Linked DNA regions of Kluyveromyces lactis. The protein of the gene in region 1 purifies or fractionates together with the protein of each later gene. This does not show direct contact. Links are inferred from orthologs where the notes say so. Each region holds a gene or a part of one and is shown in the gene's direction. Other genes may lie near its edges. The genes, in order: SFH1 and RSC9.

Region 1 (15,517 bases):
CAATTCTTCTCTAAATTGTTGGGCAAAGAGCCAGGTTTGACTCCCTTCAGAGTTAAAATCGTTTGTGCCTACCGTTATCACAACATTTCAAAAGCTAAAGAACTTTTAGGATACCAACCAAGGGTTGATATCGAAGAAGGTATCAGAAGAACGTTGGCATGGATGGATGAAGGCTTATAAAGGCCAACTCTATATGAATTGTATATATCTATGTCTATCTATAACTTTACTCATCGTCACAAGTTAAACATTTGAAAGCACCCTCGTGTTGGCCCATGTTTTCTAAACAGGAGCTGTGGAAACTGTGCCCACAACTAAATACAACGAGTGCACTGCTACCACTAGCGGCGACCTCGTGGCATCTCGCTGACTCCCACTGTTCAAAGACTTTATTATCGATTCCAATTCCCCATATTTTCTTGCCACATACTTCACACTCATGAGACTGAATTGCCCAACCATGTTCTTTTCTGTGCATATAGGTTGTAATATCTGATGATGCACTTTGATTGATAATCTGTAAAATAAGAAGTTTCACTGTCTCTTCGACAGAATAAGCTGTGAAAATATTCTTCAACACCACTTTAATATCTTTGATTTTACTCAAGATAAGAGATTTGTTTTCAAATATCTCCATTAGGGTCTTCCAGAAAAAGCTCTCCTCCGAGTTTTCGATATCATTCAGGTTCCCATCTGAAAGCTCAATAAATACTTTCTGCAAACTTTTATCACAAAACGCTTTTTGATCATCGGTAAGAGTTGGGTATTGAGAGACCAAGTTTGATATCAATTTAACCCAGTTCTTGTTAGTTTCATCTGTCTTCTGGGATACACTGATGCCTAAATCCAAATAATTATCAATTTCGTCAAAATCATTATTTTGTAATAACTCGTTGATTTTCGAGTTTATTTTATCTATTGCCGACCCATAGTTCTTTAGCCGTACTAGCAATCGTATCAAAGTTCTCGAATCCCTATTTCCGTTAATAATATCTACAATACTCTCAACTTCGATGTTTTTAAGGTCAATATTGTCAACCCATTGTGATACACCGGACGCATCTCCGGTTTCATACAACAATGATAGATACTTCGGCCTTGCTTTCTTCAAAAATGGGGCAGATAGATGATAGTTCCCAGACAGAAGTATACGAAGATATCCTAAGAGCGTCAACGGATCAGAAATAAGAAGAATTTTTTCATGTAAGCTACTATCAAAAGAGTCTATGATTGAGACAAGGGAACGCTGATCTTGACAATTTTCGATAATCTTCGGAAATGTATCTGATAGAAGGTCGCAAATTTCACTTCGACCGATAGGCGATTTCGCTGTAGCACCATCACATAGTTTCAAACCTGCAATAATATCATTGCCATTCGTATTCCTGTGTTGATCGCTAAGAATAAAGGTAAGATAATCTGTATATCTTCCGGCCTTTTTATATAGCAGAAGCCGAACACGATAAAAATCCACTCCTGACATTTTATCAATTAGGGCGTTAATATTATCTGGTGAATAAACAGACAATAGTGCTTCAAGACAATCTTCAGAAATTTGTTCAAATCCTTCCAAATCAGCAGATAATATGACGTCTATTTGTGAGTCAATGATAGTGTTGGTTAGGCGAATAAACTGAGAATACTTTGGCAAATTGTTGAACACAAAGAGGGCAATAAGAAGTTTCACATGATTTTCTTTGAAATTCTTCTGTATGTCCAAAAGAACATCAATTATATGTTGTCTAGTAAAATGAAATCCATTTTGAGGGGATTCATTGAACAGAACATCTTCAAATGAGACATCAAGAACGTGCAAGAAATTTTGCGCACTTGATGATATTAAAAGGGAAGCATATGGAAAGGCTGGTTCTTCTGCTGGTAGGGGACACGTTAAAAGCTTTTTTCCAGAGCCTTGTGGCCATTCCAAAGAAGAGCCACTAAAAAGTAAGCTGTAATAAAAGTTCTTTAGGTATAGAATCTTTTTGGAAGGCACTCTTTTTTCTGTTGGATAAACTTTTCCCAATAAAGTTGATTCGATGTACTCGAAAAGGGTATTATCTTCAATGTTAGCATCAAAAACTACACAACATTCTTCTTTGCCAGCAAAGTAAAATATTATATCCACTAGGGGACTTTTATAATCATCCAAAATGGTTGTCCAGAGATATAAAAGTGCAGAGTAGAGACGAAACTCTTTGCAAACCTTGAAAGCATAATCCAAATCCAAAGTTGTACCGTCTAGCGATAATAAAATTGTCTCTAACCTTCTATCATTTCCTGAAGACACTGTGTATTCCATCACAGCCTTGAAAAGTATTGGTGAGAGGTATGTTACTGTCCCGTTAACGATTTTTTCGTAAAGTATTTCTTGAAATTCTTCGTTATGTTTGGTCATCAAAGCTTCCCCTACCTGTTCTAAAAGCACATACATCTTTTCATCTGAGAAAATACTTCCCAAGTCCAAAATCAATGATGTAGCTTCAGTGACCTTACTGTAACTTATATCATCTTTCTTCAGTAAAAATTGAACAGTTGCTAGTGTCAAGTTGTTAAACGATGGTTCAATTTGTCTGATTCTTTTCTGATAGTCTTTTTCCAGATGTAATAAGGCGGTTATCGAATCGAATGATGGACCTTGTAAATAGTAACCTAGGGTTCCTAATGCATTAATGTAATCTCCTTTATGTATATGGTGTAAGACAATATCGGACCATGAGTTAATTTTCCCCACCATTAAACTGTAATTGGTGAGCACAACAATCGTGTTATTTAACGTAGCGAAATGGTTCTCAGATTCTGGAACCATCAGTTCATGAATAAGTAAGTCAATACTAGTGAGTACAGGATCCTCATCGGTATCAACACTACCTATGTTTAAAACGAGAAGCTTACTTGACAAGAGCAAAATAGTCAAAATGTTATTTGTGAGCCAGGCAACTTTACAAATGCATTCAGGAGCTTCGTACGTCCATTGTAAAGTCGGAAACCTGATATCGACAAGGCTCAACTGGTTATCTACAGAGAAGGCAACCTGATTTGGATTGACGTCATTCCAGGAGATATATCCAAAAGTGGCCGAGTTTTTGTGTGACAATTCAATGAGCCGATAAGTTGATAAAGTTGGCGATGACAATGATATGACTGCGAAGGATCGATTAGATAAAACTGCTAACAGATGTTCAGCATCATAATCTTCACCGTTGCTTCGAATGCGCGTAGTCAATAAAGGGTTTATCATTGGATTCAGCCTCAAGATTTCTTTTGCACTAGGTACCAATTGCCAAAGATGATTTCTAGTACCCTTGTGAAGTACAATATGTCCTGTAGAATCACTGACTGCAATATTGGTATGTTTCCCCGGGATAAAATTAAGACCATTAAAGGAATGTCCTCTATGAGAAGCAATATGCAGCACGGCTTCTAGATGATTAGAATCGGAATTTTCATCGACTTGAGAGTTTAAGTCCCACAGGAATATATCACCGGATTCATAGGCTGCGCAAACATGGGTACCATCCTGATTTATATCGATAAATGTTACCTTGGATCTAAAATCTGGTAAAGATGGTGCTAGTACAGATTGAACGAATTGTTTCTTGTTAAAGATAACAACGGCTCCCTTTGCCGTACCTATGATATAGTAGAGCTGAACCGGAAGAATGAAAGTAGGTCCCCCATAATATGATAAATTCGGATACACTTGTTGCAATGAAGTCCAGCTTACATGCAGGGATTCATCCTGAGAGCTCTTAAAGGGATTAAACTTTTCGAAATCGGTTGTGTTGTTTCTCTTATCGTGGCCAGTACTATGAGAGCCATTCATTTGAAACTTGAATCTTGCTGGCAATTGACAAACAGGTAATCGAAAACTGTTTTAACCGAACTTAGACCGTAGGGCTTCTGTTGCCTTTCCTGTTTTTTTTTCTCATATTTTACCTTAAATGCAGCATGATGTTTAATTAATTATCTATATGCATTTATATTATGCACATTTCTATTCTTAAGATGCTCAGAGGCTGTAAACCTAAAAGAAAGATGAACATAACAGGATAAAAGAGACAGCAAGGGTTCGGGTCCAGCAAGAAAGCACGAAGGGGGTCGTTGAGAAATATAGTATATTTATTTATTCATTTATGTAAGGGGAAAAAGGTGAAGAACTTAAATTAGTTTAATTACAACTTTTGCATAGCAGCAACATCAGTAGATTGGACGTGGTCTTCATCTTCTTCGATAAGTTGTTGCAATTCATCAAGAGAAACCTTAGCATCTTCGATGACCATGTTAATTTGCAACTTCTTGATACCGAAACCAATTGGAATCCATTGGTGAGCACCCCAGTTCAAACCATCCATTTCGATGTTCTTAACGTTGGCAACCAATTCTTCCAAATCGGTTTCGTCATCCCATGGCTTAACATCCAAGGTAACGATAGACTTAGCAGCAGCCTTTGGCTTAGCAGCCTTCTTTTCGTTGTATTCAGCGATTCTCTTAGCCTTCAATTGTTCAGCTTCTTCATCGACATCATCGTCAGAACCGAACAAATCGACTTCGTCATCGTCATCTTCTTCTTCAGCAGCAGCTGGTGTAGAAGTAGCAGCTGGCAAGGATTCGAATTGATCAGCCTTGGAAGCAATGTGGTTGAACCATCTAGAGAATTCTGGGTAAGTAGATTGGAAAGCCTTGAAAGCAGAGACGTCAGCTTGAGTAGCAGAGGTACTATATTGATGCAATTGTTAGTTAGTAAAATGGAAAGAACAAAAAAATGAAATTTTTTTGTATGGCAGCTAAGCTTGCTTGCTGAAAAGAGAATTCAATAAAAAAGATAAATCAGAATCGTACTGTCTAGGTACTGTCTCTTTGTCACTCATACCGGGGGTCTTACTTCCCGTCATAAACACGGACCAAAGAATTTGTTCATCATTGAAATAGTAAACTTTGAAGAATTCTCTTATTCAAAAAACTGCTTGATGCCATTGGAAAACCACCACTATAATTATTTCACATACCCTTCAATGTAAGACTTGTCAGCCAAGAAAGTGTTCAACTTTTGCAAGGTTTCGACCTTGGAGAAATCAGAGAAAGACATCGTTAATGGATAGTTAAACCTGGTGAGAGAAGAAACTAGGAAAGAATCAATTCCTCTTCTTCTTCTTACAAGGAACGTTGAATCAAATTGACGAAAAAAAAATACTGAAAAGCTGATGAAAAACTCTAATTCGAAAAGTTCCAATATATATATATATATATTTATGAGATATATGATATGTAAGACGTATGTACTATGGAATTATGGCATCTACGTGTATTCAAAGTGCATGCAATGTGCGGTGGAAGAAAATTTTTTTTCTTCCTTGTAAGTGCGATGAGATAGATACTGGAAAGGCAACAGCAGAAAACAGGGCACGCTGCGGCGTGCCCTGCGACAATTTGAGAAAAACCAAGTTTATTTTCAAAAATCATGGGTCCACCCCTTTGAAAAACGATTTTGCCATAGTAAATGGTTCCAAAACGGTACGGATTTTTCTGAGAAAGTGTTCTTTTTTTCATTTTTTTCAAACTGGATTCCTTTTCTTTTGACAAGTGAAATGTTTACTCAGGGTAACACTTAGATTGTTCAATCAACTCATCACTGTATACGAATATGAAAAAGTATCCATCAATTCAAGAATAGAAGTGCAAGTTCGTGTTTTAGGGCTGGTTGAATAAAGACTATGATAGTGTTACTACAAACAAACGGTTTACTCATTGAAGCGTGCTGATATACAGCAGACAAAGCAACTACGACCTGCCTCCCAAAATTGTATTGATATGTCGCTCGTACCGCAAGCCTACTTGAGTAACTTCCATAATAGAGTGAAGAACGAGGATGTTCCGTTGTTTACTGCTGCGCAGTTATCGAGAAACAAGAGGGGTAAACAGGTGAACTACGCTGAGTTCGATACGGATCTCTTGGATGAATTCATCGACAAGAACGATGAGGATGATTTGGAGGATGATGTGGACGATTCGGATGGTCGTCGTAGGGGTGGGGACTACTATGATCAAGTAGACGGTAGTGATGGAGGTGCTGCGGCTGCTGCCGCCACCGCCGCCGCAGCGGCGGGACTCGGTGAAGATGGTGGCATTGGTGAGGGCACGCCCGGGTCTGGTGACCCCGGTGCTGTCACTGGCGGAACGCCGGCTGCAGATACTGGGCCAGACGGTACAAACGATGGTACTGCAGGAACGTCAAATCCTAGCTCAGAATTGGATCGCATCAAACTAAACGACTTGCCCGACCTTGAAAGTCAGGATGATTCTGCCACTCCGCTAGCTTTGTTGAAATATCCTAGGATTAGGGAAACTTTCGTGCAAAGTAGGATCGCTATCAGTTATAAAGACCTTCTTGGAGATTCTATCCAGGATCCGCAGCAAGTGGATATAGAAAGCCCGATAATGGTTCCAATACGGTTAAACGTTGAATTCAGTGGACACAAGTTAGCAGATTTTTTCATGTGGAATTTGAACGACCATTCGATGACTCCAGAACAGTTTGCTACGATCTTGTGCCAGGATCTTGATTTCCCAGTGCTTTCCAACCCAAATAATTCCCCATATACACAGATTATCTCTATGATTAACGAACAATTACAAGAATATGAAACATTGGCATCTTTACAGGTTCCTGATTTACACGTGATAATAAATTTGACTGCAAATCTCGATTCCAAGCTTTATGATGACACTTTTGAATGGAACCTTAATGACGATTCATTATGCCCAGAACAATTCGCAGAATTGGTGGTACAGGACCTGGGCTTGCAAAGAGAGTTCGTTCCTGCCATTGCACATTCGTTGCATGAATCCTTGCTAAAGGTAAAGAAGGATTGGCTCGAAGGTAATTTGAATTTGGCCCATGTAGAAAATAAGGCAGCTTTCGGTTACACATCAGGTATCCGTCTAGATATAGATACACTTGGCGCCTCATGGTTCCCTAAGGTAGAAGTCCTCTCACAATGGGAAATCGAAAAGCGTGAAATTGAAAAGGAGAGAAACATGAGAAGATTAAAGAGAGAAAGTGCCAAGGTCGATGACGGAAGATCCAGAAGAAGAGGCAAGAGGAGAATGGATGACTTGGAAACTACTTTGAGAATATAAGTGTGTTCTCTTTTCCGGCCAAGCAGTTTAACTTCACAGACGCCCATTAGACAAAGCTGTATAGAAAATAAAGTTCTCCATCTATTCGTGGAGATTTATGTATCATTAATGTATTAATACCACCGTCATCTGTGGTTTTGCACAAATACTCTTCCTTTTCGTCAGACTATTATTTATTTAGTCGCCAAAAATCTCCACAACAAATAGAAAAAGATCAAAGATCATCGCGAATCAGTAATGCGTACGCTGGGAATAATAAAAAGTACATACCCGAAATCCTTATTACTTCAATTACTATGCTCCACGAAGTATTATACAAGCATTTAGACGGCATTTTAGTCTCACGTTTGTATACTGAGGATCAGTTTGTTGATCTATTTTCTAGAACGATACCGGAATCCAACACTGTGATCGCGTCACAGTTATACAAAAGTTATGAAGAGAATGATCAACGGATCATTGAAAAAATAGATAAACTCATCGACAACAAGCTGTCTTTGATAAGAGTTGAGCTCGAACGGGAACAAATTGAAGACTCCATTTCTCTCGAGGAAGTAAATAAACTATTGCATAGCATTGATGATATGTTGCAGCAGCATTTAAATCAATTAAACATTGAACTAGATAATAAAAATACAAAACTTTTGAAATATGCAATGGAACTCAGTGACATTGAAGCAATAGATACTTCCATGTACGATAATGTTGCAAAATTAATAACGGACATGGAAACCAACCAACCTTCTAGTTGAAAAGCTCAAGAACACACGGTAGAATCTATTCCAGGCACTTCCAATTCTTCACCAACCCATTGGAAGACTTCATACTTGGAGTTCAAATCTTTGTTTGAATGCATGCAGTATCCATCACCTGAATCAGGTTTCAGTGCACCGCTGACCGACATAGGATTGATGAATATGCATCTTTTCACTCTGGAATGAATTAGTGCCATGCTGCACATTGAGCACGGCTCATGACTGGTGTATACGTCAAAATCTAAGCAGAGATAAGTTTCCCCTTGATGTATATCTTTTTCTGACGCGGTACCGTTTTGGACACGGTCTCTTCTCTCCTGCTCTTCTTTAGCTACCTCATTTATTCCGACCATAACACTGTGATCGAGGGGAGATCCACTATGTCTATAATCCTTTGATATTATAATTTTACCAGATTTTGGATTAACGAATGCCGATACTATTGGAAGTTGCATGCTATCCGAATCTCGGATTGCTCGAGACTCTTCTGCTATCTTGGTTAACAATGACCGAATCTCTGTCATGTCAAATATATAGTCGTTTAATATCTGGTCATTAGGATTTCCTCTCCAAATTAACGGCCAATACTGTTCACTCCACTTCAACATTAAGCTTTTAGTCGATGGACCGACCTTCGGTACTTTGTTATCGTCTTTCACATTGTCATACTGGAAAACGACTCCTTTCAGCATATTGTCAAAAGTTGATCTATCCGGTATGTACTCTTTGGAGCCGATAAGTACTCGTAGTGTGTCGCTATCAAGCTTCTTGATCCGTTTCACATGAAGGAATGAAACGGGGTCATTATCCTGAATACCTCGTACGAATGGTATCACTGACTTACTTTCCCTTGGACGTACTTCGATAGACCAAGCCTCAACTAGATCAGGCACATCAACGTTTTTGGTATCTCGAATTTGCCAGAGGCAATCTTCGACGATGCATTTTATAAAATCGATCTTAGTGGGGTTCAGATGTTTCTTAACCATACTGTTAGCTTTTCATGTGAATAACTAGTAAATCTAGAGCTATAATTAAGCATCCATTTCCTTTACCCTTTACATATTAGTATATCATCTCATCGCATCGCATCTTACATTTCTATCATTGAAAAATTCATATCCAGAAATTATAGGCTACGAAACACTATTTACCAGTTTAGATCATGCTCGTAAGAAAGATGAACACTGAGAATAATTAATAAGAACCTTAAATTGATCATCGAGATGACTAAGGTGACTTCGAATAATGACCTATATCAATTGGTTTAGATGAAAATTCTTGTCGAATATTTGGAATCTTTAGAGTGCTATGAAACCCTCAGAAAATCGGATATTCTGATCAATGCTGACTCTAATGGGGTATCCAATCTGTTACTCAGCTGTTTCGCACAAGTTAACAGCAAACATTGCGTACCTCCTGAAATTGAAATATCTTCTACTTTCAGCTCATCGTATCACTGTGAAACTATAGAAACATGCATTCTCTACCTTTTGCACAAGAATTTTACGAATAATATACTGACTTATGGTTACCAGCTGGGAAAGAATTCAGATGTCATGACCAAACTGTTTTGCCGTTCATCGAACATAAGCGTAAGTGTATTGAAATGTAATAGCTGGAGATTGTTCCATCAGCTGGTTGGCACTGACAATTTTGTGAATTTGTTAATCAACTATTCCGTATATTTCAACACCGGCCATTACTTCAGGCAGATAATTGGAACCCCCGCTAACGCGCCTCAGGTGCCACCTGCATGGCTAGATCGGTCGTATAGGAGGGAAAGAAATACTAAGCTAACGATAGATTGGAACTCTGCTCTATATCATAAGATAAGACCGCAAGATTACAAGAATATCATTGAGACTGATCAGGGGCTGTTAATAGCTGAGATTTTTCCGAAAATATCAGAGAGCAGTAAGACACCTCGTTCTCTAAACTTTGCATTGAATAATCTAAAACCCATTTTATATGAGCTCATTCGAGCTCACGAGAGGTTTTCATATAGACACATCATCAATAATATATGCCCCAAATCAGATACTTTCTATTCATCACCCAAAAGTGTCATCAAACTGCTCATTGTATGTGTTAGAAAAACGTTCCCATTGGACCTGTTAGGATCAAATTCAAACTATAGCGTTCTATCAAAAGCGATTGCAATACTTGTCAAAAAACCGCTCCATTCAAAGATACTATTTGATGAATTATGTAAAGGATTGCGTGTGAAAGATGTCAAATGGCTAGAAACAAGGCGGCTTCCAGCTGGTGAACAAACTCAAAAGATTCCATATTATGATGTGAAAAATCGACAAGCGCTTCTTTATAAACTGTTTTTTTGGATCCTTTCCTGTTACGTCCCAAAATTACTATCTACATTTTTCTATGTGACAGAACTATCGTCGACTGTCGATATAGTTTATATTCGTCATGATACTTGGAAAACCATGTCACAACCTTTTTTGAAATCTTACTTTAGGAGGTATTTGCTTGAGAATAAATATTGTTTCCAGCACAGATCTTTCACAGAATCCAAGTTCAATCACAGAAATCTTCGTTTAATACCAAAAAAATCAGGCCTCGATTTCAGAATAATAGCGGTGCCGTGTAAAGGAGTCAATATACAAGAGTTTAACGAGTTTAATGATTACGTTACGAACGCTCTGAAGCCCACCAAGATTATACTGGAAAGATTGAGGATGAGACGAAATACCAAGTTTACAAAAGCATTCTCTCCTTTGGAAATACCCAAGATTGTATTAAGTTATAAGCAAAGGCTACTTTTAAAACATGGTAAAATACCGAATCTCTATCTTTTAAAGTTTGACATTCAATCCTGCTATGATTCAATTCCGGTTCAGAAAGTAATGAAATTGGTAGAGGCTCGGATATGTGAAGAGCAGCAGTTTTTTATTAGATCTCAAGATATACTGACAACTGCTTCCACTCGTCTGAAAAGGCTTCATGCTGTAAATGGAGACATACAATTCCAGGAAAATGATTTAGTAATTGATTCAGTCAAAACTACTGTCTTATCAAAAGAAGACGTTTTAACAGTAGTTAAAATGGAACTCTTCAAAACCAGTATCTTTTACAGAGGCAAGTGTTACTTAAGAAAAGATGGACTCTTTCAAGGAACTCCCTTATCTTCCGTTCTTGTTGATATATTGTATGACGACCTACTTGAATTCTACACCGAGTTTACTGATGAAAATGATTCAGATCCGATGATAATACGGCTGGTGGATGATTTTCTAATAGTTTCAACTTCCAAGAAATACATCGAGCGGCTTAATAATCTGGCTCAAACAGGATTCAAATCTTTCAATACTTATATAAACCCACAAAAAGTCTTGGTTACTTCATCAGAATCTGAAACATCAACAAATGTACCTTTTTGTGCACTGCAGTTAAATCTAAGAACCCTAGAAGTTTGGAAAGACCGCTCATCGTATAATGTCCTAGGAACAGTTTTGGGATCATCTAAGCAACTGTATAATAAATTACTCTGGATCTTTGAGATGAGACTATCTTATAATATGCTGGACGAGCGCTTAAATTCTTGGGAAACGGCTGCAAGGTTCCTGAGAGAAGTTGCGTTAAATGTAATTCAATCGTTCATTGTCCTTTTTAATAGGAAGAAAAGCAGCAGAAGATCTTTCAAACAATTTGTTTTCAACATTTTTCAGCGAATTGATCTTAACCTCTCTTCAGCTAATATGTTCTCGATGGAAAAGTCCGTCGCGTCAAAAGAACTGGTGTTGTCAGTTTTCCTTGAACAATTAAAATTAAGGAAGAACGCATTTGCAGACATTTTGACAAATGTCAGCGATTTGAAACTATTAATAGAGTTTTAATGCTATTACTTAAAATTATTGTACCTATATCAGACCAAAATTAACACGCAGATTTTCTTCGTCTTTTTGTTTTCTTAGGCGTTCTATCTCCTCAATGCCACCGGCCTTTTTGAAGTTACCTTTCTCAACGAAATTGCCCAACTCATCTTCAAAGGCTTCATTTTCCTTGTACTCTTTCTCTCTGTTTCTTAGTTTTTCTGCCTTTTTAATGGCTTCCACTCTACTGTCATGATCTGGGTTGAGATTCTGAACTTCAGTCAAGACTTGATCGCGGATCATATTATATGTGCCTGGCTTGGCTATCGGAAGAATGGGGTTTCCCTTATTCTTCTTTGGGGCCTTTTCCTGTTGTTCGCAGCACAATTTAACCAAATCAAATGTCTCCATAACCTTATTCAAGTCTTCTTGTAAATCAAATACGAGATCTTCTTGCAATGTCATGAACTGTTGCTCTTCACACACCCTATCTAATTCCGCTTCCCAAATAGTTTTCCAATTTGGCTTTTCGACATCTATATAATTTCTCATTTGATCCAAATCCTTCTTAGCGGAGTCTAATTCAGACGATACATTTTCAATCTTCTTCTTGGGTGTTCTCGCACCTCTAATGGCCACATCTTTACGTAATGCCTCAATGACATCTTGAAGATCGTCAACTTTACTCAAAAGATTATCAGAAACTTCGGATAACTTCGACTGGGACTTTTCCATATAATCGCGATTAGCTGACTTTCCTGTAGTTATTGAAAGGCTCTGGAATTTCTGTAGTTTTTCCACGATAGCGTTTATAGTATTTTGAAGCGATCTCTTTTGGTCGCTATGTATCTGTTTTAAAACGGTAATTTCGTGCCTAATATGAGCAACTTCTTTACGATGATCCTCATGTATAACTGTTGCAGAATCTGAGGATTTTGGACCACTTGAATAATCTGGTGACGATACGTGAGTACTATTTTGGATAATCTCTTTCAAATTTTGAAAAATTGTATCTTGCTTTTCTAATAAACCATCTTGAAGTTGGCGGAACTGTTCATCTAGAGACGATGATTGTACCTGTAATTGGAATACGCTCCCATCTATTATACCATGTAGGTGACTCTCTTCAAGTTCGTAAAATGCCTCGTATTTGGGTTCCTTCACATATATGTCAGGGAATACATCACCTCCTGGGGAATATGCAAATTTCTCAACAAATAAAAGTCTAAGCTTGTTGAAAGAGAGGTGAGAACTAGTTACACATCGTTTCACCTTCTCACCGATCTTCAAAAAGACAACAATTTCATCTATGCTTGAGTTATCACCTTTTGGTTCTGGTGCTCCTGTCATGGGATGATAATCTACGGATGAAGCAGAAGAGATTCGAGAAGGCTGTCTTTCCATTTTAATGCTTTCTGTATCAGAAACATTGGCCGCTGCTGCCGCTGCAGCAGCGGCTGGAACTGCTAAATTTTTAGACGTTGGGGAATTCGATGGATCTGAAGCTGTTTGGTTGGCTAATTTCGCCATATGATACGCTGAAAACCTCTTCGAGGCTCTTCTTTGCAGATTATTTCCCTTTTTCAATTGAGTTAACGCATCGCTTTCAGAACCCTTGGGAACTTCTAACGTAGGTATCTGTTTTGTTTCAATATGAGCTGAAGTAGATGTCGGTCCCGCGCCAGCCAAAGATGTCGTTGCGCTGACTACGGATGAAACGGAAGATCTTTGAGGAGTATGCTGATATTTCAAAGCATCTTCATTCCTGCTCAGTTTTATCATCGCCTGTTTAACCTTAAGTTTCTCCAAGAGTTTAACTATAATATCTCTGATCTGCGGTAGGTATTTATTCAACGTTTCCTCAGATGCAGTCTCTCTCAATGCCACCTCCAATATTCTTCGAAGGTCTTTTGGCACATCGCCAAGATCCGAAATATCAATTCTAGCATGGGTAAAATGTCTACTGACTAACTTGAAATCATTACCCAATTGAACATACACATCGGAAACATTACGCTCGGTAACTTTGCCCTTGGACCATTGCGTCAGAATTTGTAATAGTTGTTTAGTTGAAATCAATAGTTTCGTCACACTAGTTTCCACAGATGATGCTGATTTAGAAATTGGTGGTGGTGTTTCCATCTTTATCAGACACACCTTACGTACCTCACCCTACTGCTTCCACACACCTAACTACTAGCTAGGAAATCCAACGTACACTTTTTAAACGGTATGTTTCTTCAAAGCATTACTAGATCAAAAAGCTTTAGGTTTGATTTGGTTTGCATAAATCTTTTGTTGATAAATATCAAGAAACGTAATTTCCTGAAGTTAGGCCGAGATAATGAAACAGGAAAGTATGGAAACTTACCATTTCAGAAGCTAAGCAACCAACAGAGACGTGTTACCGCGTATGACATATAGCGTGGTTTCTGTGGGATGAATCAGGACTCTGTAGTCCCCAATTCGGAGGCTAGTGATGAAGAGATCGTAATACCTCTGCATTCGGAACCAAATGTATTTCCAATCTTCGATGACGAATACCAGGTACGCGTCATTCCGGGCAGTCTCGATAACGTAGCACAGACACCTCCTGATATTGGAGTTTACTCTAATAGTATAAGACGTGCATTGAGAAAGCGTAAAGCAATCCAGAAGATGCCGTATAGTTTGGATAGAATACGGCATCGGCAGTTATTGCAAGGGTACGATGTATCTAATTTCGAATCTCTAGCAGATCATATCAATCTGCCGAGTGGTTCCCGGCAAGATATTACTGTTAATACGGACAATGGGGGCGTGCTCAATTCGAGTCCTGTGAAGGGCGGCCTTTCACAGCAAGAACACTCGACTATTGCGTCAACAAGGCTTCGAAGGCATCACCATTTCCATATTTCAGATGATGATGATGATGATGAGGTATATGGTAATGCTGAACTAGACAGCGATGAAATTCGTGACGAGTGTCATTCGGAAAGTGACTCGAATCAGTTTGATAGATCCAGTTTATCCTATGATGATAACGTTGTTTTTAGAGGAAGGCAAGTCAATATCAGAACAGGATACAAAGGTGTATTACCCAAAATGGCGTGGAAGAAAGCACTTGATAACAATACAGTTGAAAGTAATAGACAAGGAAGAAATAAAAATAACCACTACGATGAAAATTCACGGAGTAAAGGTTTAGCCAAGAGAAAAATATCTCGTAGAACGTTTAATTCCAGAGACGACAACCTTGTAAACGAATTAATAGAATCGGATGCTGAAATTGAAGTTGGATTCCCGGAAACATATCTACGGCTACAGAATGAGCAAGATTCAATGGAAGACTCAAAACTAGAGGAATATTTTCTACAGAAATATGAGCCAGAACCAGATTCAGATTCAGATTCAAATCCACCATCTTCAGCTGATGATATTACTGAAATTACAAGCCAGGGGATCGAACTACTTACTCTAGATGATGATGAAAAGACTGCGTTGGAAACAATAATCTTTGAACCTTCGAGCATTGAACCTTCATCTGCAATAGCTAAAGATTCTACTAGTGAAATAGATTTCATGCTAACAAAGACTCAGAAGAATCGTAGAAGTCTGGATAGTAAACCCACAATCCTGAAAGATAAATCAAAACGTACAGGTATCCAGCGTCATGGTAAGAAACGAGCTAGAAATATAACAGGATCACGCGGGCGAGAAAGAATATCCATGATGAATAAAGTTAGTCCTTTCAGAAAAGTTAATTCCAATAAAGCTACAAGGGAAAATTCCTCAAAAAACAGCTACCGGGAG
Region 2 (16,027 bases), on another chromosome or scaffold:
ATGCTCAGACCATTTCTGACTAGCGTAAGCCTTCAATTCTTCAAGTGAAGTGTCTGCATCCTTTTTAGCAGAGTCACCAGTGTCCTTCAAATATTGAATAATGTCTTGACTAGACCAATTTTCAAATAGATTGTTGCAAATAACTACTTGGCAAGCAGCTGCACAAAATATCAAAGCACTACTAAGCTTCATCCTGCGTATTAATATTGTTATTCTGTGTAATAAGCTATGTCAATAAATCTTATTAATAACAGACACTTTAAATGATATCCTATACAAATATACCTAAGCCTAAAAATGCCAGTTGTTAAGCAAGAGAAAGTGTTCCACGTTTGTTGATATATATATATATATATATATATATATAGAATGGGAATTGCCAGAACAAACTTCTAGTTGACAGTGACAATGCATCACACTAAGTTGTAAAAATCGATGGCCACACTTAGTTCCAAATAATAGCTCTACACACTTATAATAAGGGGTAGGGTGACATGGATATACTCACGCATGGTCTAGCCAAGCTCACAATAGCGTCAGTTATGATGTTCGCTAACCCGTTACCTTTTTCCCTTATTTTTTGGATTCTAAAGACGTCTTTTTGCTAATGTTAAAGAAATGACTTTTGCGGTTTGCTAATGGCAGCAAGAAACGATGCAAAAGGACGACTGTGTCTTAAAATTGCAGATGGCAATGCCACCATTTGTATTGTGCCTTAAGGTAAAAATTCTTCCGGACGCCGTGATGTGTGGAATTTGCTTTGATGTATGTATGAGTAAGTAATCAGATCAGATCACTGAGAGTGATAACTCTGGGGGAGTTAGGGTCTAGGAAACTAATTAGGTAATTAGAATGTGTTTGAATCAGGGCAGAAATGGAAAAGAAGGAAGAGAATCAATGGGTCGTTTGAGTCGATTTGATGTTGAGATTACACTGAATCATCGGTTGATGATCCGTTCCTTAGCGTGGAATTACCACTTTTCGGTCACATGATCAACGTCAATTGCCAGGGAGGTGAATTTAAACTCGTTGTTCCCATAACCATTTGAAAAGGACTTAGGCTGTCACAGAGGGGATAGTCAGTGTTCATAAAGAGGATAAACCTAACTGTCAGAACTATGATTAGAATCACTAAGCAACAGCATATAGTCTTTAATCTGTCCTTGTTACTATGTACGGAGAGCATTTATGTAATCATTTACCCGGATATAAGCCGTATTATTGAACTCGAAATTCAACAACATGCAAAACAACGAAAGATTCGAGATGGACTTCTTAATATGTACAATGACAGAAAAGGAAAACGCGACTAATTAGATGGAGCTTACTTTCTTTGTACCTATATCGGCGATCTAGATACCTTAAACACACCTTCTTTCGGAGACTCGCTTTTTTCTAGTTTTGTGTGATACCTAGTGCTTCACAAATCAATAGATGTCCAGCCATTCAGTCACTCCGGTGATCAATGCTGAAGGAGAAACAGCGATTCCAAGCTTGAAGACATTGCCCGCAACACAATTAAATATTAGCAGAGACCAGACCAATGGTATTACCGCTAAGCCTGTTGCTGGGTTGCAACAATCATTAGGCAGTTTGCCTATCTTCAATCATTTGCCTGTAAACTCTAAGATTGGTGTTGATGATCTCACCCGTATGAAGATGGCATTGTTAAGTGGAATAGACGAAGAAGTTAAATTTGCATTGAAAAGATATTTACGGTATAGCATTAACGCTTCTTATGTTATCAAATTGAATGAGAATTTGGATTTGTTGCCCATTATTATGCCCTTGATTACAGCATGCAGAGAATACATTCCACAGCTTGTTGGCCCAATTTCCAATCAGGCTTTTGAAGCCCTACAAAAAGGTTCAATTACAATGCTTCTTTTGAGAAATTTGGCACAGGACTCGGAAAACACTTCGATATTAGCCACCGATATGGAATTGAAATCGTTCATATTGTTCGTGTTGGAGTGGGCAAATACGTTCAATTCGAAGGATTCGGCAATCTATCAGTCACATACATCCAGTTTCAACGAATTGTTAATCTATACTCTTGATTTAATGGAGGCGATTTCATCTTATATTGCACCAGCAAAAAAAGACGATCTATATTTCCAAAACCTCTGTTTGATATTTCGTGATACAAAGGATAGATACTGCGTGATCTCAATTTTGAGATCATTATCTAGACTCTTGGTGAGATCTAAATCGGACCAAAAGAGTGCAGCAGATAATTTGGATGATAGTTTGTTGAACAAGATTGTTCATAACCTTTTAATTGATAGGGATGAAGAGTTAATAATTGCTTCATTAGATTTCCTTTATCAATATATATTACCTGGTCATCAGAGAATAAAGACATTACTATCACATAAGGAAAGATATGATATCCTAGTTAGTACTCTCCCTGTTCTCCTCACGTATCATGTATCAACCCCTGATTATCATGCCCTTTCGAATACTAATATCAAACTTATACAGAGGGTAAAACCTCAACCACCAGCACACGCGCCTGAATTGCCAATGCCACTGCTCAAGGAATTATTTGAGCTAAACGAACCAATGCGTGCCACTTCCTGGTTGAGATGCTGCTTTGAGAGATCTCTGAATGGCGAAGTAACACAGATTCTTCTATGGAAAACTTATGAACAAACATTCAGCGAACAAGTAAAACTAACAGATCGAAAATTGATAACTGCCGTTGATTTCATTAAAAATGTTTCGAATGCTTTGCCCGGTGCATCCGCTTTGGTAGTTGTAGATGAAGCAACGTCGAAGAAAAAATTTGTAATAAGAGGTATACAGCCTCGCAGAAAAGCTCTTTCAATCGTAGAGGCAAATAAAGATATTGACCAGTCCTCGCCTATACAGACTGAAACCCCGGATGAATTTGAAAGCAACAATACTCCATCGGAAGCAGTTCAAATTTGTTTGCCAGATATTGTTTTCCCCGAGAATCTTTCTGATGTATCTAAAGCAAGTGCGTCATTCCTTTCACTTGTTTCTAACGATAGTACCGAGATCGTGGCACAATTTATTCATGATATGAAACCTTTGATATTACATCAAATTGCTGACGTGCCACCTTTAAATACTGTTCTTTTGGACTTCATACATTCAGGTTGAACTTACCGTTAGGCCGATAGAGTAATTAAAGTTGTAGTTTTGTAATAATTAAATGTATAACGTATCGATTAAAGGTAAAAATTAAACAACGGGAGACCTAACTAATGTATAAAATTGAATTAAAAATGGTGAAACAAAATAAAAAATAGATGATAGCAATTCTGACAATATCAGAATTTTGTATCGAATGGATCAGCGTAAACCCATTTTTGTCATAATAATCGTAAAACTCATCAAATAATAAATAAATAAAACTTTCTTCATGAGACAGATTGTTCATGGAAAGTATGATAGAAGTATAGTAAGAATAAGGTAACATCAGCAGAAAGTTGTTTAGTGCATGGAAGAATCTATAATATCTTTGAAACTCTCCACTTTAGAATGATGATCAGATAAGCCTTCAGATTTGTAAATGGCAGAAATGGAATCTAAAAGTACCATTAGCGAGGTCTTGCTAACGTTAAAAGAACCATTATCATTGAAGTTTATAACCTTTACAGCGTTGTTCAAACATACTGATTCGACGATGTTGTTGAACAAATTGTCAACCAAAATTGGGTTAATTTTTTGCCATATATTGAGCAACTGCAACATTTGGTCTTCGGTGAAAGTTATTGTTTTAAGATAACCCCTGAATCTCATGTAGTTTTCGAGTTTGGAGTAATAGTTCTCTATAATAGAAGTATCATTTAAATCAAGAAATTGCATAGAATCTTCAATATTGTTGAGAATTTGTTGGGTAATTTCCATCTTAATGCCAAAGTTCAACTTCAAGTCTTGTGAAAATTCCTTTCCTTTGGTCATGCTTTCGTAACAGTGAATCATATTGTGGAAAGAATGTTGGGCTGAGAGCACGTTCGCTAACTGCAACGTGTTTTCGATTTGGAAGTCTACATCAACAGGAGTTCCGGAGAATGATGATAAAAATAATGCAAAAGAGTACTTGTCATAGGTTTGATGATCGATAACATCTGGGAAAGATTTAAGCAGTAACATTGCATCTTCAAATTTCTTTTGATTTATTAGATATTCGGATCGAATTACGCCAAGGGCAGCAGGCGACATAGAATCTTTAAACCTCGCTTCTTGAGAAAGATAATTATCATAGTCACCTAGGCGAATGAAAGATTTCAAGATCAATGAAATGTCTAGGCATGGACAGATTTCATTGAACATGATAACTGATTTATAGTCCTTCGCTCTAAATAGCGCTGCAAATATAACCGCGGTAGCGCCTTTGTACTCCGCTTGAGAAGTAATACTTTTGAACCTATCGGGGAAACCAACAGCATTAATAAAATTCCGGATGTTTTCACAATTTAACGCAAGCTTTGATAGCGATTTATCTGTTAGGTTCTCAAGAATCTTACTGAATAACTGATGTTGAATTACCTCCTCTTCCAAAAGATTCTTTGGACATTTCACAACAATACAATTAGAGATATACTTGAGGGTTTCCTTGTCTGGACATAAATTGATAGTCTTGGTTATAACATCAGAGGTTATGTATTTCTGGTGAATCAATTCGGAGAAAGTATCATAATCAAATTTGTAGCCATCTTCGGAAAGTCTTTCATATTGCTTGAACCCTGTCCTTTTGGAGTTACGCAATACCGGACCCAAGCTTAATGGGTAAGATTTGTCCCAGTCACCAGGGTGTTGGAAATAAGCCACAGTATCTTCGGAAAGATCGACCATTTTCATAGCTTGAATTGCTACAGGGGAAATCTTGTTGGCATCCAAATGAATTCGTTTGTAGTTAACGCAAAGCTTTTGGAATCTTTCAGCCATTTGTTTTTTGAAATCTAACAACATCTCATTTTGAATATCCAAATAGTAGGTATCTAGATCATATAATCTCGAAACAGCTATTCCATGCAATTCAAGATTGTAAGAATAATCCTGAATCAATTGAGGAGTTTTCCACAACGTTTGGAAACAAACAATGAAACCTGCGTAATTAACTGCAGAAGCGTTTTCAAGAGTGAACGCTTCACAGGCACTCTTAAAGAAAGGCATTTCTGATACCTTCTTCAAGATAGGTTGCGATTGATAGTTTTCGACCAATGCATTCAAAAATTCGAATACTAGAGGCTTGCTATCGGTTGAAAGTGCAGAACCATGAATATTCACAAAACGAAGTAAGTAAGGCTCCGGGCAACCTATGCTTTGGAAGTAGCTAAAAATGTAAGGGTACAATCCTCTTTGGAATGTAGTCTTTTTCACATTCGATTCTTCGACCAATTTCATAATGAGCTCGTCGTCTTTTTGCCTTAGGGCGTATGTCAATATAGTGCTGGGCATCGATTCCAATCCACTTGGATACAATAAATAATTTTTGATTTTATTATCGTTTTTCGTGGTGTTGAATGACGTTTTCATAGGGAAAATATAATTGTATATTCTTTTCACCAATGGCCAATTAGTATTGAGGCAGTTTGCGATCATGACCAAGTAGAATTCATAAGAGAATTCTGGTACCCATTTTAATTTACTGAATTCCATCAACAACTTATATGCCTTTTCCGAATTTATTTTACCGACAGATATCAAAAAGTTCGAAATGACCAAAGAAACGTTCTTGTTATGCCCATCTTTTGCTTGTAGATCCACAAGAAGCTTATCTAAGAGCTTTGTAGCTAAACTTAACGATCCAGTTTCAGCAAAAGCTGATACGACGACAGAGTACACTTCATATTGGTGTTCAACCAATTGCATATTTTTCAGAAGTTCTGATCTAAAATCTTGATAAAGGTCTTTTACTGCCTCATGTTCGTTCAACATCTTGGCGTACGAGATTAAAGAAATGTAATAGATTTCATTCTTTGAATACTTCACGTTTGAATCAATGAAATTCTTGATATAGCCGTACTTTATGTGGCCAGGGTATAAATTGATAGCCAACAAAAGATTATCTAAAAACTCATGGTCGAAGGACTTATTCTTATTCAAATTAGAAGCAAAGAACAGATCAATGGCAATTTTGAAAAAATCTAATCCATTGGTGTTGTGTAACTCAAACGCTCTGATTGATCCAGACAACAATGAACCTACAACAAGGTGATAGATTTCTGCGCTTGGTTTTAATTTATTCTGAATTATATCTTGGTAACAGTTAAGTAATTCAAACATTTGGTTATCGATATTATTTTGATCTAAGTCCCTTCTGCAAATAGAAGTCAAAACTTGTTCAAATAATGACAACGGAGGAACAATTTCATTTCTTATCAACGATTTATAAATTGCGTTAACCTGATTATAATTTTTGTTCTTCATGCAATCTTCTATCAGCTTAGATTGTGTTTCTAAAAATGCTTCTTTATTCAAACATGGTTCCAAATCTGTTTCCCATGCCGGGATTGAGTCATCCAATCTTACATCTTTTAAACGATCTAAGAGAGCTTCCGGCACTGCACCTTTATCCGTTTGTTCTTTCGCTCCAGATTTCTCTAAACTATGATGCTTTTCGACAGGAGGTGAAGTTGGAGGAGTGATCGGAGTTGCTCGTAGATTGTTATTTGCATTATTTTGAGAATTTTGTACCTTGGTAGAATAATAACGGGTAGACAACTTCTCGTTAATTAGAGCAGATTTTTCATTCGATAGATAGGTAAACGAGTTGGATCTCTTCTTCTTATTGTGGTTGGCACCATACGAGCTCTTCTTCGAATAATTTACATCATGTTCGCCAGAATAGAAAATTTCACCATCCTTTTCATAAAATAAATTTAGCTCCTCTGATTCTAATCTCGACAGCTCTGCGTCTCTACTCTGTAAAGCCCTTTCCACGTTATTATAATTAACGTTGGCCACCACTACGGGATGTGGAACAGCAGTCAAAATGTTATGTTGAGGAATAGCAGTATCCAAGTTCACAAGTCCCTGATTCTGTTTCAAATACTGGTACGAGCTATCAAAAAAGGACGTTGCCGATTTATGTGCAGAGGAATGATACCCCTTACAGTAGAACTTACATTTCAATGATTTGAAGTGCATCCTGTCTTTTAACCCACTATTTGAACGATGTAGAGAAGAAACAATAAGTCCGAACTAAATACCTTTCCTGTCAAAAAAGAAGGACAATTATCCCAAGGTACTCTTATTTTACGGTAAAGTTAGATTCGTCTTATGGAAGCCAATATAATATCTATCAACCCTCCAAATTAACAAAGTGAGACAGTAAATAATTCAACGGTCAATAATGATGCAATTAGTCCAGCGTGACAGGGAAGGGAAAAAAGACCAAGTCAATCAGTGAATATAAGAGAGATGATTCCAGCTTGAAGCTTATTCTATACAGAGAAACTAAGCTTTACTGACTCTGTAGCTCCCTTTTAATATCAACTTTTGTGCTTACTTCTTGATTGACCGCTGAGCCAATATTACCGGTAGGGATGAATATTTGATTCTATAGATATATGAAGTTTTCTCTTTTCCTATTTCTCTACTTTCTGTTTTCTACTTTTTTTTTTTGTCAAATTATCAGTTTTCTTTATTTTCTGTCATTCTGATACGGAGGGAAAAGAAGCATTCTGATATGCTGCAGAGATTTAACAGAGGGAATCCCCCATAAAAAGCACGGAAATTTTATGAACGCTTATTATTTAGAGCCGCGAAACTACTTCTTACCCGGGGATAGCTCTTTTGGTTAGTCATTTTTTCTTAGGACATGAGCGTATTACCCTAGAAACAAAAGTAGTCAGATCAACCACCAGGTCTATTTTTGATCCCTGAGCTGTGATTTGCTGTGACGTGGCACAGAATTAAACTTTACCGTGCTTCAGTAATATTCCTATTGGTTCTTTCTTCCGGACACACTCAGGAGTCAGAGGGCTAAGCTCTGCAACTGTTGGAGCTTACTAGCTTTGTTACGATAAATTCCTCAGAAGCCGGAAAGACGAGCTTTATGGTGTGGTGTCCGGGTGTTTTCATAGAAACTACCGTAAAACTGTATTGCTTCAATCATCTTTTTTTTTAGCGTTTTCTGTCGATTGTGTTCTATTGGCCGATTTCTGGACGGTAGCGATGTTTCGCATAGTAAATTCACTCAGACTGGGAAAAGTAATTCGAACGAAAACAGTGCTAAGCGATGTTCGTATTTACAAAAGGATCGTAAGGAATGACTAGCTATGGGAAATAGCGTATTTTGGAATTGGACCGATATTACCATCGGGAGATAGGATTGGATGTGACATTCGGAAGGAGAGGCTTACTGCTAGCATACAAGCTAGGAATATGGCAGGAAGAAGCTCTGAAAAACACAATCAATCGAGCAAGGTAAGTTTAAGTTCAGTAATGAATGGAAAGGCAATTAAATTTACGTGTGTGGTGTGTCTAAAATATACATATAAATATATTTATTTTCTGCCTGTTTGCGTTTAGTGTGGGGACCAGCAAGGTATCCGAGGTGGTTGCAGGATATGAGATTGGGTTGCGGATACGAAGATGACGATAGATACTATCTTTTGCTTACTTTATCTCAACGCAAATACTGTTTATTATGAATAAAACAGAAGTATCACATCTTTAAAAATACTGGTGCAACATAGAGCTAGCAAGGTATTTCTTTTTTCCTTTCCTCTGTAAAGTAGTTTGTCAGGTGGAAGGGCGCAGATCAGGATTGGTCAACGAGTAAGATTTATTAAGGTTTCAACAGAAGACAAAAAAATCAAGATATCGTTTTTGTAGATAGACAACAGAGAAAAATGGATGAGAATGATAAATGAATTTGTTTAATGCATTTTTCTATGCATTGAATTATTCTTTGATAGCGTAAGATCTTCTGTACCTGTCGTCAACATTGGTTAAATAGTAAGTACCTGGGTACAAGTTTTCAATGGATCCGGTAGGTTCGAAAGACTTTTGTAGATGGGCTTGTTCTCTCAACAGGATAGCCTTTTCGTAATCTTCTGGAGACTCGGTCTTTCTGGATTTTAGCTTGTTTTCAACGTCCAACACATCGACGATGTGTTTGATGTCACCGACAACCTTGCACGAGAACAAAGATGCAGCCAAACCAGAACCGTAAGAGAACAAACCAATACGCTTGTTTTGTAGAGCATCCGAACCGACGTAGCACAATAGGGAGGAAAGTGAAGCATATACAGAAGCAGTGTACATGTTACCAGTGTTAGTTGGGACGATCAAGGAAGGAGCTACTCTTTCTTTATGGAATGGTTTGGCAACATTGACGAATGTCTTTTCCAGATTCTTGTCGGTCAAAGAAGTTTCATATTCGACGGAAGCCAAAGATGCATCGATTTCAGGGTATAGAGATGGGTTGGCTCTGAAGTCATTGTACAACAATCTACCATAAGACTTGGTAACCAATTTACAAGTTGGGACATGGAACACGTTGTAGTCGAAATGTTCGGTTACGTTGATGGCAGAGTTACCAGCAGGCTTTGCTGCTAGACCCTTGGCGATTGCCTTCTTTGAGTAAGCCTCGTAAGCCTTATCCAAAGCCTTGACGTAACAAGTTAATGAGAAGTGACCGTCAACGTAAGGGTATTCACTTGTGAAATCTGGCTTGTAGAAATCATAAGCGTGTTCCATGAAGGAACCTCTTATTGGATCGAAGACAATTGGAGCATCTGGACCGATCCATAGAGCGACAGTACCAGCACCACCAGTTGGTCTGGCAGCACCCTTCTCATAAATGGCAATATCACCACAAACAACGATAGCATCACGGCCATCCCAAGCAGAAGATTCAATCCAGTTCAAAGAGTTGAAAAGAGCATTGGTACCACCATAACAAGCATTCAAAGTGTCAATACCCTCTGTATCAGAGTTTCCTGGGAAAAGTTGGGTCAAAACAGACTTGACAGACTTAGACTTATCCAGTAGAGTTTCGGTACCAACTTCGATTCTACCAACGTTGTTGGTGTCGATGTTGTAGTTCTTCAAAAGTTTAGATAGAACAGTCAAAGACATAGAGTAAATATCCTCTCTGTCATTGACGAAACCCATGTTTGTTTGACCCAAACCAATGGTGTATTTACCGGATGAGACACCGTCGAATTTTTCCAATTCTTCTTGGTTGACACACTGTTTCGAAAGGATAAAGTATAAATGTTAGTAAGACTGGGTGAGGTTGAGAAAACAACGCGGTGAGGGCTTCTCGTAGCAAAGTTTGAAGGATCAGATGCGCGTTTGGTAGGATATGCTCTGTCCATATTAAAAGATGCATTTATCCAGTTAGTTAATACTGTTGTGATTTCAACTTCAATGCAAATCACTTTGTTCTTGTTTTTCTACTAGTGGCGGCAAAACCAGAGGGAACACATATAAGGACCAACAGCGCCTACAAAGAAAGAAGACCGAAGAGCTGATAGCTAGTAAATTTTCCAAATGATGCCTTCCTATCCATAATTAAAGAACTGGCCAATAATTCCCTCTTGTTTGGCAACTATCTGTGTCCGTTTTTTTTGTATTCCTCGTTTAAGCTTATTTGCACAGCCGCTGTACTTCAGCAAAGTAGGAACAGAAGTCTCGAAAACGCTCAAATTCAACAAAATATGCAAGCCCGTGAGTTGCTATAACAGTAATTGACGTATTAAGAACATACTTGAGATGGGATGTAAATTTCGATACCCTTGATACCGACGTTTTGAGGTCTTGGTGGTTGATCCACAGTCTTTTGCTTCTTGGCTAGATCTTGTTCAGTCATTATTTCTGAAGGGTTAGCTGAATAACTATGGGAGTTGTGTGTTGATATAATCTACAGCGTAGTATGGTATAAACAACTTATATTAAAAGAACCGCTGGCAAGAGTTAACACTTTCTTTCATTACCTAAAACACGAAAGTTCATCATCAGTGTATCTTATTTTTTTTCATCTTTAAATATCACGTCGATATTTTTCTCGTTAAAAGAAAAAAAAGGCCATCTCAATGAAAATTTGTAACATCTGTCGTTTAAGAAAAAAAATGGTACAATTTTGTACAGCCAAGGAAAGAAACATATATTATGATACAAATAATTTTGCTGGATAATTCACCTCCACTGCGTAATTTGGTCCATTTTTCGCACGTATAATTAGAATTACAGAGCATACGAGATAGCGCTTCCTTTTTTTTTGTTGAGGGAGGTGCTTTTTGTGCTCTTTTTGTTATCTTAGCGATGAGAGTATCTTTATAAAACAAATGTGTAACGTTCAAGCTTCAGCTAAAAGAATAGTTCAGCCAGTGAACTAGGCTGTTCTTGGAGCTGGGTTGTGATATCCATCAAATATGTTTTAGTAAATAGGTACTTTGATAATTGCTTAGCTTTAGAAAGTGAAATATTGAAGTCAAACACCGTTATCTCCTTTGTTTCGAATGCTCTCCACTTTTCACCTTCAGGAGTAAGAACGAGACAAGTTTATCATCATCTTCCCATTAGAATAACCTATTTTTATTGGCGAACTCCTTAAGTAACAGCGTGTTCTAGACAATGTCACTAGATGTTCAGCAGATGGACGTTTAGGATGACTGTTTCATGATCGGCCTATTCGTTTGTAAGTGCTTTATTTTTCGTGCGTCATTTCAATACTATATATTCCAAAAAGGCGCAATTAAGCGCTATCCTAATTGACAACCAAGAAGATCACGAAATGTTTCTGCAGTGATATATACTTTCATTGAAGCTAGAAGTAGAATAAGACTCATTCTTAATGCCGATGTCTGATTTCATTTTTGAAATGAGTGTAAAACTATGGCTTACTGAAGTTCATAGGCTTGTTTAGAAGTTAAAGGCCCCAGAATACTTACCGTACCTTCAAAATGGCATCTACAAAAGAGCTGGTTATTAGTTATAAACTTAAAGCGGTTGTGACTCTTGAGTAGAAACGCCATATTGGTCACGTGATATTATTTTAATAATGACAATTTCAACCTGTATAACATGTTAAGCAAAATTTAAACTCAAATTAAAGAATAGTTATGAATGTCAAATTCGCTTTGTACAACAACGGTCCTTTTGCAATCAGTAATTATTGTGTGAACGGTCATTTATTGCATCACATGGCAGTTTAAAGTATCATAAAACCTAATTATTGGAGTTTTTGTTGTAAGAGTTACAAAAATCGTTGCTATCGCTCCTTTGCATTGAATAAAGAATACTATAGCCATGAGCACTGTGAATAAGAAGCCTGCGTCTTTGAAGTATAAGATAGGCAAAGTGAAACAGATACCCACTGTTGTTAAAGATGATAAGACTGGTTTGGAGTACATTCAGGTTCAAAGCAGAGAAAATGAAAAGGTGTACGGTGTTACTAAGTTTCTGAACAACTATCGTGAGGAAGAAAAATTAGGGCAAGGTACTTTCGGTGAAGTCTTTAAAGGGATTCATTTAGGCACAAATAGAAAGGTTGCTATTAAACGTATTTTAGTACGAGCAGAAAAGGATTTGTTTCCAATAACAGCTCAGAGGGAAATTACCATTTTGAAGCGCATGAATCATAAAAATATCGTAAAGTTGATTGAGATTGTCTACGACGAGTCACCAACTCCTAAGACAGATAGTACGTCTCCTCGACCTGTTGGGAACTATCATGGAAACAACACGGCAAATCAGCAGAAGCTCATAACAGGTAAACACTTTTTCATGATATTACCATACATGGTTTCCGATCTAACAGGGTTGTTACATAACCCCAGAGTGGAGTTCGGCATGGCTGATGTTAAAAACATCATGCTACAGCTGTTGGAAGGTATTAACTATATTCACTGCAATAAATTTTTGCATCGTGATATTAAGACAGCCAATATCCTTATAGATCATAAAGGTGTCGTAAAAATTGCAGATTTTGGTCTAGCAAGAAACTATTATGGTTCTCCGCCAAATCTTAAATATCCTGGTGGTGCTGGATCAGGTGCTAAATACACCTCGGTCGTTGTTACACGTTGGTACAGAGCTCCTGAAATTGTATTGGGTGATAGACATTACACTACGGCAGTTGATATTTGGGGGATTGGTTGTGTATTTGCTGAGTTCTTTGAGAAAAAACCAATCCTTCAGGGTCAAACAGATATTGATCAAGGACATGTCATCTTCAAACTCATGGGAACACCATCGATGGATGAATGGGGATTAGCTTACCATTTACCTGGATCCGAGTTGACAAAAACAAACTATAAAAGTACGTTGCAAGAAAGATTTTCGAAAGCGTTGAACGAGACAGGTTTGGATCTTCTCTCTAAATTACTAGCTCTAGATCCATACAAGCGTGTAACTGCCATGAAGGCTAAAAAACACCCTTTCTTCTTCGAAGAACCGTTGCCAAATGCACAGCTAACTTTGCCTAACGAAGAATGCCACGAATCCGATATTAAAAGATACAAAAGTGAGATGAACGAATCTATGTCTCAAAGACCGCCATCTGCCCCAACAGGACATACATCGACTGATAATTCCATAAGAGCTGTGACAGGTGCTGCATTTCCAAAAGAGGCTTCAATACCAAAGGCTCCTAGACCAGAACACATAAAATCAACCATTCCAGCGCAACCCTCCGCCTCACGGTACAATGGTGCAGCAACTCAGAACATCCCCAAAGAACCTATTCCGACTGCGCCTCTTCCAAAAGGTCCTAAAAACAGTATACCGACTGGACCAAATAAATTACCACCGAATCCTCGTGATTCATATGCATCGAAATATCCGGCTGAATCAAGGTTCGGTGTGAATACAAGAATTACTACCGAGTCGTATAATGCCGGGAAACGTTACCGTAATAGAGGAGGATGGGAAACTGGTAGAGACAGTCTAAATTATAATAACAATTATGCTCCACCTGCTGATCGTTCGCATCATCCTACTATACAACGTCCTTCTGCTCCTAGAGGAGGATCCTATCCTAACAGATATCAAAATCAGGACTACAATACCTCTAGAAATACAGGGTATAATCAATACAGCCAAGCTGGTGATCGGAGAAGTTACAGACCGGGAGCTTCTGAAAATCCAGGGACCATTGGCCATGGTAGCTCACAATCTACGCAAAAAGATTCCAAGTCATCGCATTCCAACAATGTCAAACCAAAAGACGTTGCAGACTACTATTGATTAAATTTAAATTGGGCTTGAAACTATGCTGGTACTTTTCTACTTTTTAAACCCAACTTGACATGTTTTTTCCCCAAAGTGGCCTGCTGCTTCGAGATTGTTAAATAGTATATAGATAGTTTACGAGGGAAAGTGCGTTTGTTTCTCTTCATGTATCCCAGAAATTCATCCATTAAAGTGCTAACCAGATTATGATATGTGGTCTGTGAATGATATCATTACGTATAAAAGGGAAATTATGGCTGATGAAGATTTTTTGCTGGTATAAATTCATTGTTGATGTATCCAGATTTGGAAACCAAATCAAAATTACGCACGTCAATAATCACCAAGCAGCAACTTAAATATACTGATAAACAATTTAAACATGGTCATTAAGTTATGCACTTTCCAGCAGAATTGAACCCTGGGGTAATTTCTTTGTTGGCGGTGCATCACAGAAATTCCTCGAACGTTTCAACTGATGCTCGATGTGTTTGCTATAAACAATTCCAACAAGCAAATAGGTACCGATTTGCACAAATAATTAAAAGAAGGCAAACAGTGCCTCATTTTCACACTGTGTTTGAGTATCGATTAGAATGTCGGTATAATAATTCCACCGATCTTATCATAGCTTTATTGTTTCATTTTCCTATTTCTTGGACATTTTGAGGTTTGTACCGGAACTTTGCATGTTTCATGTCAATATTGCCCAAAAAACACGCTGGAAGGGAAAAAGGAAAATGATTTGATCACAAACAATTCAACATTGTTTCAAAAGATCCGTTACTGGGTGAACCAGGATATAACCACGCCGTGATAATCTGAAACAAGCCATTAAGATCATCAACATTTGCCTTTATATATAGAGCACCAGGAATGCTTTGAGCCGTTCGATACAAATGTTAGCAACCCTACTTCTCGAGAGGTGATACTTGCAGTTGGTATTTATGTGGATTGTACGTTACTGCAAAACCAAGAACTGACAACTTCGAATTTATTCAGACGTAAAGACTGTTGGCTTCGCTTCACGAATTAAAGGGGGGTTTAGCTGTATTTATACCAGGAGGTATATGCATGTTGTACTGTCGCGCTCTTTGTTATTTTTGATTTACTTCTTCTTATGAATAGATAATATGGTCTCGGAGTCAAATAAAAAGGAAAAAACGCTGCATGAATTGTTTTCTAATAGCTTCGACCGCTCACCCGATGGCTCAATATTAACTCATGAACTGAAAACAGTATTTTCTATTATGATAATATGTCTTCCGCTGGAGGAAAAACCAAGATCAAGTAGCAATCGACTCTTGAATTTCGCTAAGAAAAGTTTTCCGTTCACATTTTCAATTACGGAGGCTATTGATCTACTACAGGAGCTGGAGCTTAATGTGGAAATGAATTCCACTAGTATCTACATCAGTTATTCCATCAAACCAGAACTGGGATACCAGCTATTGAACACTTTTATGAAAGCTAAATTACTACATACACCTGCGGATAAGACAAGAAGTCGGCCAAAAGAGAACATTCTTTTGCAGCCGACTCCTAAAGGGGTGGCCGTAACGTGTGATTATGCCAGGAAGTTTGCATTGAAAGAGCTGCCTCCAATATTAACTTCAAACTTCAATACGATGAATCTTTTCAAGTTCGAGCGAAATACGTTAGATGATTCTGTCATTCAAAGCGAATACTTCATAAATCTATTGTTCAACAAGGTCATGGGTCCAAAACCTAATATATGGTCCCCAAAAAATCCAACAGATAAAATTCCTAAGCTCTCTGACTTATTGGATCAAAGAAGCTCAGATGTTTTCTCATTTGAAAATGTGTCACCAGACTTCGCCGTAAACGAGCTTGGTGAAAACCC

What was found.
Region 2: the proteins of SFH1 (region 1) and RSC9 purify together in Saccharomyces cerevisiae (affinity purification with mass spectrometry; 5 studies listed by BioGRID). This does not show direct contact. The link is inferred for Kluyveromyces lactis from reciprocal best matches to the Saccharomyces cerevisiae genes SFH1 and RSC9.

What each region holds. Positions count from the first base shown.
Region 1 is NC_006039.1:1,621,097-1,636,613, reverse strand, and holds SFH1 (Sfh1p), read left to right. Parts: upstream 1-5,808; coding exon 5,809-7,137; downstream 7,138-15,517. Other genes in the region: ERG26 (sterol-4-alpha-carboxylate 3-dehydrogenase (decarboxylating)), read left to right, coding at 1-180; CORVET complex membrane-binding subunit VPS8, read right to left, coding at 227-3,823; EFB1 (translation elongation factor 1 subunit beta), read right to left, coding at 4,173-4,716, 5,007-5,086; NKP2 (Nkp2p), read left to right, coding at 7,434-7,889; TAD3 (Tad3p), read right to left, coding at 7,895-8,881; EST2 (telomerase reverse transcriptase), read left to right, coding at 9,164-11,749; BUD6 (formin-mediated actin nucleation enhancer), read right to left, coding at 11,774-13,867; MMS22 (Mms22p), read left to right, coding at 14,165-15,517. UniProt on the Saccharomyces cerevisiae protein: Component of the chromatin structure-remodeling complex (RSC), which is involved in transcription regulation and nucleosome positioning. RSC is responsible for the transfer of a histone octamer from a nucleosome core particle to naked DNA.
Region 2 is NC_006040.1:880,715-896,741, forward strand, and holds RSC9 (Rsc9p), read left to right. Parts: upstream 1-1,434; coding exon 1,435-3,129; downstream 3,130-16,027. Other genes in the region: double-strand break repair enhancer MSC1, read right to left, coding at 1-192; RPM2 (ribonuclease P), read right to left, coding at 3,463-7,125; ERG13 (hydroxymethylglutaryl-CoA synthase), read right to left, coding at 8,887-10,179, 10,700-10,801; cyclin-dependent serine/threonine protein kinase SGV1, read left to right, coding at 12,241-14,178; GTPase-activating protein SST2, read left to right, coding at 15,297-16,027.